Danio rerio: one gene and its partners. The protein of the gene in region 3 purifies or fractionates together with the protein of the main gene of each other region. This does not show direct contact. Links are inferred from orthologs where the notes say so. Each region holds a gene or a part of one and is shown on either strand. Other genes may lie near its edges.

Region 1 (4,371 bases), on a different chromosome or scaffold from region 3:
ACATCCCCAAGTGTAGGTCAAGGGGCTCTGGACGCCCTCGATGAACACAGCTTTAATAGGGCGGGAATCAAAGTGAGCGGAATATTTAAAAAAAAAAAAAAAAAAAAGTAATTAAAAATAGAGAGGGGAAAAGAAAAGCAGAAAAAAGATACCGAAAGAACAAATTAGTGAGTGTTAAATACGAATAGACAGAATGAGTTGATCAAGATTGTGAGTATGTATTAATAAAATTTATATGGATGGGATTAGGCGGTTCATTCCACTGTGGCGACCCCAGATTAATAAAGGAACTAAGCCGAAAAGAAATTGAATGAATGAATGGATGGGATTAAATTTGAGGAACAGAGAATGACAAAAGTTCATGCATATAATGACTAAATTAGAGATAGAAATAATTTATTAGCTGCATAAAACATGTGCCAATTACAGTATAATCAATCTCAAAGAATTTACTCAACAGAAACATTATTAATGTGTTTACTCATTGTATGAATATGATTTTCTATGATTGTTTCAGTAGAGGCATACATTAAAAAGAGGTATCCATTCTCCAAAAAGCATTTTTGTTTTAGAGTGCGAGGCCAAAAATTTAGGACCTACTAAGATAGTGCTGGACATTTACGTCTTTTCATTCTTAACATTTGAAAATTCTAAATGTTCACTTGATCAAATGTTGTGAGAGAAAGACAGATAAATTACCCGTTAGCCATAACTGACACATTTACTCCCTTGCATTAATGACAAGATTGCACAATGATGCCATTATTCTCTCAGTGCCTACTGCTTCGGCTTCTTTCCTTCAAACCCACTGTCCTACATTTCCACTTATTAGGGTTTTGAAAATGTGTAGATTCCATTTACAATACAAAACACAATCAATGATAACTGGAAAATTAAAGACTTCATGAAAAGACAAACACAAAACTGCAAAACCACAAGTTATTAAGATAATCAAGAAGCAGTTAAAGACCTAAAGCTATTTAATGTTTGAATGCAGATAAGGTCAGGTTTTAAAAAGTGTTCTAATGTATACAGAATTAAATGGAGAATCACCTTGAATGCAGAGACCCCTAAATCAATCTGAGACTATGACCATACTGAGCTGTCAACACCTACAAGAGTGACACCTTAATATACAAATGTATATTTCTGAACCAAAAAGGACAATACTTTTTTGCTTATTACTAATATTTAAAAGTACATTTCAAATAATTGTTCAGGAGAGAAGAACTGACCGTGCCCCAGCTCTGTCTGAGCATAGGTGCCTAACATATGGAATGACTCAGCTAAGGGGATCCATTTTTTGCGTTGTTCAGCAGTACACTGGCTTTTTAAGGTGGGTATGAACATGACATTATGGACACCTAGGGGCTCTTGAAATACACCCCTCACAACACTGCAGAATGGAACAGACAAATGTAGTAAACATACATGAAGATACACATTGTACTTTAGAGGGTTTTATAAAAAGTCTTTTTATGTTAATAGAAACCAGATGTTTAATCCCAATTAGCTGTACTCCTAATACTTTTCATTATGCTAAATGTGTATTTAAAGTTTAGTTTTTAGGAATGTCTGAATCACCAAAAATGTATCAGTTTTATTTGTTTCAGCTAATTTAATCTGAGAATAGGAGTGGAGATGATAAACATTTTACTTCCCTTTGACACACTTTTAATCTGAGACCTTTGCCCTGGCTGTCTCTGCAAACACTGTAACTTTTGCTTGCAAATTGTAGCTAACATTCATATGCAACTCACAAACATATTTTACAACACTGATTTTGAAAATTTCATAAAAATTGTGTTGTTTTGGTGATTCATTGCATTAACCAATACATGAGGTGTAATTTAATTGTAGAGATGTTGGGACAAAGGTAACACAAACACCAAGATATTTGCTATTAAAAAAAAAACATATATTTGTATTATATTTATTTTATATTTGACTTTTTTTTTAAATATAATACAAAGACCTCAAAAAAAGAACTGTAGTGTATGTTTATTTTTTTCAGTTAATTCTTATCTCAGTGTTTTCTGTCCTCTAAACTTCTCTCAACTATCCATATTCTATAACTTCTATAACTATAAGTTTCTTTAACCATGACAATTTTGCTTACGTCTTGTAGGAGTAGATCTCTTCTGGATCAGAGATACCATATTCCCTAAGTTTCAGAATCATCTGTGCACTCTTCCGCACTGCTGCATCATATCGCTCACTTCGAGAGAGAAAGTTTAGGTCTTCATGTTGGAAATCTGGATCTCCAATAACCAGAGACTCTAGAAAAAAACAAACAAAACAAAAAAACAGATGATGGGTGTTTTTTTTTTTTTTTTTTTTTTTTACTTTTTAGCTTGATATCTTGATCTTGTACAGAAATGGGCCAACTAATTCAATATATATAAAAGGCGCTCTGACTTCAAGGTAAATATTTATATTATCAGTTTAATTTTTAAGAGCTCCACAAACTGTAAATTTGCAAGGGTACATTATATTACTAAAGAAATACATTAAATTAACATACATATACCTGAACTTAATCATGTCAATAGGTTAACCTATGCACACAAATGACCGGAAAATACGTTTACAATCAAATAGGTTATTTAAGTTATTAAATAGCAACGTTAAAACACTTTTGCAGCTGACCTATTTCTCTCCTTCTATTTGTCTTTTCCGCTCCACCATCCAGCACGTTTGTAAGAATCTCCAGGTTAAAAGACGCATTTTCACGTTCACGGCTAATATCAGGATTCATGACTATTCAGTTAAACTTTCTTTCGAGCTACGTGCCTTCTGCTTTGTGTCCTTTTTTCTTTTTTTGTTATATAACGTTTCAACTCTGGCTTAGTTGGGTTTGTTACTTCCTGGAAGGGTGGTAACATTTGACGTCAATTGTGTGTTGACCAATAGAAGCGCTTATTACTCAGTGGGCGTGGCATTGGTGCGCTTAACCACTGTTGTAACAGTAGGTTCGTTTAAGATGACAAATTCCGAGAATGTAGGGTTGAATTGACACAGCATGCATTCGGTGTTGAGTAAGGTTCGACTGATAAGTGGGAGTATTCTATCTATTATTCTCATAAATGTTGTTACCAATAAAATTATTCCAAGTCCGAGTAACACTATACATGCAATAGAGCAGAATATAGATCAGGTGTTTGTGGTTGGGTTTCTTGGAATGTGGATGGTAAATAAGTGGTGGTTCATTACACTGTGACAAACCAGGGAACATTAAAACTGACATTAATTAAATGTAAACAAATGTTGTCATTTCTGGTATTTACAATTTAGATTTAATCCAAGTAGAGCAATGTAAACAGCAAACATTGTAATCTATGCTTGGTCGGTTCAAATAATGTAGTGTAAAAAAACTGAAACATCAATATCTGTGCATTGCACCATTACAGTTTTTCTCAGTTGTTTTAGTTCATTTCTCAGATCAGAATCGAATTTTTCAAAACTACCTGTTCAATCTTCACATCATTGTGTCACTTGTGCACATCAAAAAAGCAATTTCTCATTCCTTTGAACAAGTTGCAAATGCTTTTGTACATTTTTGCTAATGGTTATATGCAGTTCTCTGATGTTTCCTACATTTTCAATTGCTTATGTCATGTTGATCAAAATGTATTATTTTGGCCTCTGTTGCATAGTCTCACCGCCACAACATTAACAGATTTTTCAGTCGCTTTGGTGCATTTGCCACAACACTATTTACATTTGCACAACAGTTAATGCATTTCTCAATACAATTAGGTAGTTAAATGGCTTTGTTTTCATTATGACAGTTTACTCTGTACATTTTTTCTAATGCAAAAGAGTCAGATTTTGGTGACACTTCCTGAAAATGCTCAAGACAGCAATATATATTATTTGCACAGCCATTTGAAAACTAAAGTAAAATTAGACATCACTGCATTTACCGTTTTTCTGAGTGGCTTTGGTGCATTTCTCACAACACTATTTACATTTGCACAACAGTTAATGCATTTCTCAAAACAATTCATCATTTGTGCACATTATAGTAGCAGTTTCTCATTCCTTCCAACAGATTGCAAATGCTTCTGGACATGCAATAATTGCTTTCATACAACTCTCTGCTGTTTATAACATTATCATTCACTTATGTCATGTCAGTCAAAATTAACTAAACTTGTGAAGGCTGAATAAGTCAGTCCATATAAAACTAATAGTCCTCATTTCAAAGTAATCTTTTTTTTTTTTCCTGGAAATGTCTTTTAAATTGAACAATTTCATAAATGATTTACAGACCTGTGTATGTTGTAGGTTCAGTTCCAATATGCACTGCAATATTGTTTAGAATTGTGCATAGCGCTACCCAAAGGAAGTTTATATTTGTTGTAAATA
Region 2 (3,616 bases), on a different chromosome or scaffold from region 3:
ATTCAGCAGCCTTTTTTAGGCTGATTTCACCAAGTAGGACATGTTCCTGGATTAACATCTATGTTGATTCTGGAACAACATTCCAATCAGCCAATCAGAATTAAGGGATACATTTACATTTTATTTTAGGTTTAGGCTTACAGTTAGGTTTATGCACTTCTATGTAATTGTTTTCAAACTATAATTCCCCTCTGATTTTGGGAGTTATTATGGTTGGGTTTTAGGGGTGAGGAATAGGTATAGATTATATTTTCAAGCAAAAAAATATGTTCTAGGGTCAACACAGATGTTAATCCAGGAATGGATCAGACTTGGCAAAATTATGACGTGCCTTTTTCAACGTCTCTAATCAAACAGGTCTATCCTAATGTATATAATATAGCTTAATGGTTTCCAATCTAACACATACCGGCGCCACAGAGTTTATGCGGACCCCACTGTGAGCCCACTCTATGGCCAAACTCTTGGTCAGGTTGTCCACCGCTGCTCGAGCTGCTCCTGTGTGCCTGGCATTAATAAAAAAAACCTGTTTAAATTGAGCTTTGAATAAAAGTGAAATGTTTGATTGTGATATAATAGATGTTTAACCAGCCATATATAAAATGTAAAACACAATACGTTTCTTTTATTTTTGCAAAGGCCAACTCACGCCATTCCAGGAAAGCCTTTCCACATGTCAGCAATGATATTCACGATTACACCTCCATGGTCCTTCATCCAGGCATTATATGCTATCAGTTAACAGAAAAAAAATAGCCTTTGAATTTATACACAAGAGTTGTCAACATTATTTTTGAGGGTTAGAAATAAGAACGCATATTATAATAACACAACAGAGAGCTAAACTAAATGTCAAGCATAGGGGTGTGAGATTACCCAGATTTTGGGATAATAGAAGTTGAGCAAATTAGAGCTCTGGAATATGATGATATATATATATATATATATATATATATATATATATATATATATATATATATATATATATATATATATATATATATATATATATATATATATATATATTGTGGGGACAGGAAGTAAAAGTCTATGGTTTCAAATTATACTCGTTTTTTTTTGCTGTTGCAAAATACATTGTTTACGGTAATACTTTTTTATTATGTGAATGACCTCACATGAAATTCACAAGCTTAAAATTACAAAGTTTAAATTTAAAATTTTATTTTAACAATATTTGTTTGCTTTTAAAAATTTGTTTTAAAAATCAATATTAACATTTTGTTAATATTTTTGTCAAGAAGTTCTAAATAAAGTACAAAAATAATAAACATTTTTAGTATATATTTTAATGTAAAAGGAAAATAGCTTTCCATGTGGTAAATAAATATAAACTTTTAATTGATTGAATTTACAGAAAAGGTACTATATCCTGATATAAATATATTTATCAGGATATGATGTGACTTATCATGATATGAGAAAAAGTTTAAATGAACTTTTATCACATTTATTGCTTACCTAGCAAGTACTATATGATCAATCTAACTGTATTGTATTAGTCAAGCTGGGCTCGAAACTGCGGCTGCTTTGGTCACATATGAGCCCGAAATTCAATCTATGCAACCTCAAAATATATTTGGGAGCATTTGTGCGAGTGCATAAAATTGCTGGCGTGCGACCTGATTTCACTGCAAAATGTTGACTGCATGGGCAGATTTAGGGGGCATTCATGCTGAATGCATAAATGAACCTATAAGATGCGAAATGCAGTGCTCGGGAATGGTTTTAACCAGTTGTCGTACCAACTTGCCCGTTATTTTCTTATATTTATTTATCTACAGCCATTAAGGAACACGTTGTATATGTTATCAATAAATTAATTTCAATTCTAAATAGTCATTTAAATGTATTGTAATTTTTTGCATTAATCAATATATCAAGTATTATTGATATATTAAAGCAGTCATGGGCGAGGCAGTGGCGCAGTAGGTAGTGCTGTCGCCTCACAGCAAGAAGGTTGCTGGGTCGCTGGTTCGAACCTCGGCTCAGTTGCCGTTTCTGTGTGGAGTTTGCATGTTCTCCCTGCCTTCGCGTGGGTTTCCTCTGGGAGCTCCGGTTTCCCCCACAGTCCAAAGGCATGCGGTACAGGTGAACTGGGTAGGCCAAATTGTCCGTAGTGTATGATTGTGTGTGAATGTGTGTGTGGATGTTTCCCAGAGATGGGTTGTGGCTGGAAGGGCATCCGCTGCGTGAAAACTTGTTGGATAAGTTGGCGGTTCATTCCGTTGTGGTGACCCCAGATTAATAAAGGGACTAAGCCGAAAAGACAATCAATGAATGAATGAATAAAACAGTCATATTGTAAAAGAGTGGAAAAATATTGTCTGTAAGAGAGTGCACAGTGTCGAAATGTCCAGTTTTCCTTCAATGTTTGACATAATCTCAACTGAAAAAGGTAGAGAGGCTGGGATGTTTGTAAGATGTGAGTGTTTAAATCCATTTTATATTTTCTAAATGCGAATTGTCACTGTTTTGTAGCACACTAGATAATAGATATCTTTAAAAAGTAACAGACTGAAACAAACATCCAAATTTTTTTATTTTAATTTCACAGGACCTTTAAATCTTTCTAAACAGTCTGACAAAAGGATTTTTTCAGTGTCAAGCTAATGTCAAAGGATAGATTTCACACACCCCTAGTGTTGTGTTTCACCTTTATGCCGAACCTTCTCTGCAGCATAAGAACGTTCCATTGAGGTTGGTGTCGATCACAGCCTTCCAGCCTTTTGCACTCATCATGTTTGCCGGACTGGAAAACTGGCCACCTCCATTATTCACCAAAAAGTCGATTCTCCCGTGAAGCTTTAGTGTAGAGGCCATCAGGTTCTTCACCTGTCAGAAACCAGAGCTACATATTACTCACATATAAATTACAAACCCAGAGCTACAGAAATAAATGACCACTTGGATACTTTTAGCTTCTCTGGATTTGTCAGATTTATTAGATAAGATTTACTGAAACCCGCAGATTTTTGAGCTCACCATTCAACTCATCATTTACGCATGTAGATGGATGTAAATTTTATATTAACTTAGTTTTTATAATAACTTCAGTAATAATACTGAATAACATGTAAATGCGTGTGTGTGGTTTATGTAGAAAATAGTTTGTAAATTAATATTTCTGTCTTTTAGCAGATATGAGACACTTTGTTTACCAAAAGTTATTATTTTCAAAAGTTATTATCTTAACATGTGTTAAGCTTTTGGTTACTATACCCTCACTTAGAAATCATTCAGCATAAATCTGCACATTTTGTACAACATTCTGTGCAGAAATAGCAAAAGATGTCTGCAGATTCTGTGTTTTGAGATCTGAGATTTGTTTATACTATAAAGGTCTGATGACATTTCTTAGAAATTTTAAGGTAAAGTCTTGTCATTTAGGTAATTTCTAATTACTCAAAATGTGACAATTGGCCAAAATAAAAATGTTAAAATGTTGTCATTTGTTATCCCACCAAACATAAGATTTTTTTTAACTCTTGTTTTATCTAAAAAAAAAAAAAAAGAATAAAACCATGACATTTTTGTTATTTTATGCAATAAAAAAAATTATTTAAAATTTGGAAGAAATGCCAAATATATTTAAAAT
Region 3 (3,658 bases):
CAGATCGGTACAAGTAGGGAGAATTTTATGCGTTTAAATATATTTTATTAAGTAATTCATTAGGTGGTGCATTACAACTGTTTTTTATAATAAAAACACACAAATAAAACATACAACAGAAATGTTATTATGAAAAAAATACCTTTTATCATTTGGAGATATATAAAGTATCTCCAAATTATAAAAAAAACAGTAATGAAGACATAATAAATATTATTAATCACAAGTTTGCAAAGATCAACCCAAATATCAATCAAAATCTTGCAACAATAAATACAAAGAAGTAAATAAAAATAAATAGAAATATAAACGAACAAACAAACAAACGGGCGAACAAACGAACGGTCACCACTACTCTCACATGGTCAGTTCCTAGATGGGAGACCATATGAGAAGGCTGTTGCCAAAAGTGGTGTTAGTGAGACCAGCAGGGGGGGCTCTACATGCAGTTTGTGTGGGTCCTAACGCCCCAGTATATTGATGGGGACTCTGTGGTCGTTAAAAATCCCAGGATGTCCTTCGAATAAGAGTAGGGGTTTAACGCCCGCATCCTGGCTAAATTTGCCCACTGGCCTCAGTCCATCATTGCCTCCTAACCATCCCCATACCATAATTAGCTTCATCACTCTCCTCTCCACCAAGCTGGTGTGTGGTGTGCAATATGGCTGCAGTCACGTCATCCAGGTGGATGCTGCACACTGTTGGTGGATGAGAAGAATCTCCCCAAAAATGCAGTACAGGTGAATTGAGTAGGCTAAAATTGTCTGTAGTGTATGAGTGTGAATGAGTGTGTATGGATGTTTCCCAGAGATGGGTTGCAGCTGGGAAGGGCATCCGCTGCATAAAACATATGCTGGATAAGTTTGCAGTTCATTCCCCTGTGGCGACCCCAGATTAATAAAGGGACTAAGCTGAAAAGAAAATGAATGAATAAATGGTTCGCCATGCATTTTCAATGTCTCTAAAAACAAAAATATTTCAAAAGTTTTGTGATTTTGGAAACATAACAGAGGAGACAGACTGCAATCTATGAACTGACACTAGCCAACCAAAGCAGATGCACTCGGACGCAGATATATTTCCTACCTCCGGAGGGCGCTGATCGCAGCAAACTCCTGCTCGTTCTCCGCCTGGCAGGTGCCCAGATATTGCCAGGCCTGCAGTATCGTCAGACACGCACAGTCAGCGTTTCAGAAAGACATAGAAGGAAACAGAGCACTGTCAGAATCCCCAGAGATAAAATGTGCCATGAGTTTTGGATGTCAGGATTATAAGTATGAGTCTCTGACCAGCTGGTTGTCTGGCTGTCTCTGAACGGCGCTCTCGAAAAGGCGCACAGCTCCAGGAATGTCTCCCGCCTCCATCCGCTTCACCCCTTCTGCAAACGGATCCTCATGGGACAGGTAGGGGTTGTCTTCCTCAAACTGATATCCCTAAAAAAAGTAAGAAAGCAGGCATTTGGAAGCAATATTTAAAAGCAAATATTCATAAACTAGTCTTCAATTTCATTTATTCCTTTAAATTTTTTCTCTTTAATTTTTGGCCATTCTCTAAAAGTTTTAATTCCACAATAAATTAGGATTTAATCTATCAAATATGATGGATTTCAGTCATAAAAATGGAATCAGCTGTATAGATATACAAATTTTTAGATGTAATGTACACCTAATGAAATAATGATGTGATCTAGTGTCTATGTATGTTAAATGGCAAAAAGACTTCTTAAATGTTATTTTTAAATTGTTATAATATTGCACATTATCACGTTTTTTATTAAAATAAATTAATAATAATTCAAATTGTAATAATTGTAAATTAATATACATTTTTATAAATAATATTTAAAATATTTTAATTAATAAATGCAGTAATAATACACACATCTGGAATATGAACAATATAGTAAAACAATAAAGTTAAATAGCCTCTCTGTGCAAAAAAAAAAAAAAAAAGGGAAGAATTTTATGCATAAAATGTAATAGTTTTATTTTTGTATATTCTTGCTCTGCAAATGAAAATTTGTTCAAAATCGAAGCAGAAACAAAGACCAAAACTAACATGCATGCACCATAACAAAGCACAGACTACTGGCTGGAAAAGAGCTCAAATTTTCCAGTTCTCTGTGCTGTAAACGGGCACAGATGTACACTGTCCAGATACCTTGTCGTAAGAGCTGCTGAGCATCTGGTCGAAGTCTGAGAGCCAGGGGTGAGCTTCAGCATCCCTCTTGGCCATTTCCTCCCACTCCTGTTGGAGCTTCTCCCAGAAATCAACATCGCTCTGTATAAAAACACACATACATACACACAGACCAATGAGTTAAAGCCAAAACAAAACAATCTTAATCTAATCTACAGACTTTAGGGTGACAGGTTTTAAGAAAATGAAAATTGCTAAAAAGTTTATATTTTGCAGCCGTGTTCATTTCGTCAATAAAAATTTGACAGGTTTGCTGTGCAGAAATGTGACTGAATGCACATGCTCTGATCTACTCAATTAATGACAGTGTGATGCTGAGGACCATAACAATAATTAGTGTTGGGTAAGTGTTTTGTTTTGTCCACATTTCAGTTTAGTTTCTTGTTCTAGGGATGTTCTGATAATTTTTTTCCCTTCCAGTTACCTGAGCAAACAAAATTAATTATTTATAGGCTAATGGATTTCTGTGCATACAAGGTTTCCCTATCGATTAAAGCGAAAGTGAAAGTAAGCCTAAATAATAAGGTGGCTCATCTCTCATTCTCGCGCTGTAGATGCTCTGTTGAACTTTTTTCTTGGTAGTGAAGCGCTCAGTTTTTCCACTTACAAAGTCTGTCATGTAAATAGCAATTTTGCGATGGCTCGACGCAACTGACTTTTAAAGGGAATGGGAGATGAGACTCTGATTGGTTTATTCTCAAAATACACCTATAACTCATTAAGAAAATAAGCTCAACCCTTTTAGACTATGCGCCATGGCGCAAAGCGGATTTTGTCGTCTTTATATTAGCAAAAGTGGATTCTGACACGCCCTTAATGTGTTTGTGCCCTGCACTTTGCGCATGGATCGTCAAAATAGAGCCCTTCAAGTGCAGAAAATGAACAATCATGTGTAAAATAACATGGCTATGATTGTATAAATAATAACCAAAAATAATGTTTAATGTCTATCTTTTACTCTTTAATAAATAACATAATCGTGCAATGTGACTACTGCAGAAACACATTGTGATATCAATACTTAATCAATATATTGTTCAGCCCTACTAAGATTTTACTGCAGATCTCACATTCATAACACTGAAACTGCTCATATACAACTAGTACTTAGTTTAGTTTAAATAAAACTGTAAGAAGTAACAATTCAGACTCCAGAAATGTGTAATTACTACACAAAAAAGCCCAAATACCCCAAAATAACACTTAAAGCGACAGTTCACTCAAAAATAAAAGTAATGCCATCAACCCTCCAATTGTTCTCTCTCTCTCTCTGGAAGATTTTCTGAAGAAGGTGTATAACAAACCAGCCATTGATTTCCACAGTCATTTTTGTTTCAAAATTTCCAATAACTGCTTGTTTCCCACATGTTTCAGAATATCTTGTTTTCCCTATAATGACAGCAATCAAATACAATTCCTCAAGTATTTACAGCCTAAACTGTGCTCACCTCGACCGCTG

What was found.
Region 1: the proteins of pex5 (region 3) and acox1 purify together in Homo sapiens (affinity purification with mass spectrometry; 3 studies listed by BioGRID, with this or other methods). This does not show direct contact. The link is inferred for Danio rerio from reciprocal best matches to the Homo sapiens genes PEX5 and ACOX1.
Region 2: the proteins of pex5 (region 3) and pecr purify together in Homo sapiens (affinity purification with mass spectrometry; 3 studies listed by BioGRID, with this or other methods). This does not show direct contact. The link is inferred for Danio rerio from reciprocal best matches to the Homo sapiens genes PEX5 and PECR.

The regions. Positions count from the first base shown.
Region 1 is NC_133181.1:21,492,728-21,497,098, reverse strand, and holds the start of acox1 (peroxisomal acyl-coenzyme A oxidase 1), read right to left. Parts: upstream 2,888-4,371; 5' UTR 2,759-2,887; coding exon 2,650-2,758; intron 2,280-2,649; coding exon 2,120-2,279; intron 1,397-2,119; coding exon of another isoform or gene 1,236-1,396; exon of another isoform or gene 51-1,235; coding exon 1-50. UniProt on the Homo sapiens protein: Involved in the initial and rate-limiting step of peroxisomal beta-oxidation of straight-chain saturated and unsaturated very-long-chain fatty acids.
Region 2 is NC_133186.1:32,594,531-32,598,146, forward strand, and holds part of pecr (peroxisomal trans-2-enoyl-CoA reductase), read right to left. Parts: intron 2,854-3,616; coding exon 2,688-2,853; coding exon of another isoform or gene 2,675-2,687; intron 732-2,674; coding exon 650-731; intron 507-649; coding exon 410-506; intron 1-409. UniProt on the Homo sapiens protein: Participates in chain elongation of fatty acids. Catalyzes the reduction of trans-2-enoyl-CoAs of varying chain lengths from 6:1 to 16:1, having maximum activity with 10:1 CoA. Has no 2,4-dienoyl-CoA reductase activity.
Region 3 is NC_133191.1:12,426,796-12,430,453, forward strand, and holds part of pex5 (peroxisomal biogenesis factor 5), read right to left. Parts: coding exon 3,648-3,658; intron 2,281-3,647; coding exon 2,161-2,280; intron 1,434-2,160; coding exon 1,290-1,433; intron 1,158-1,289; coding exon 1,087-1,157; intron 1-1,086.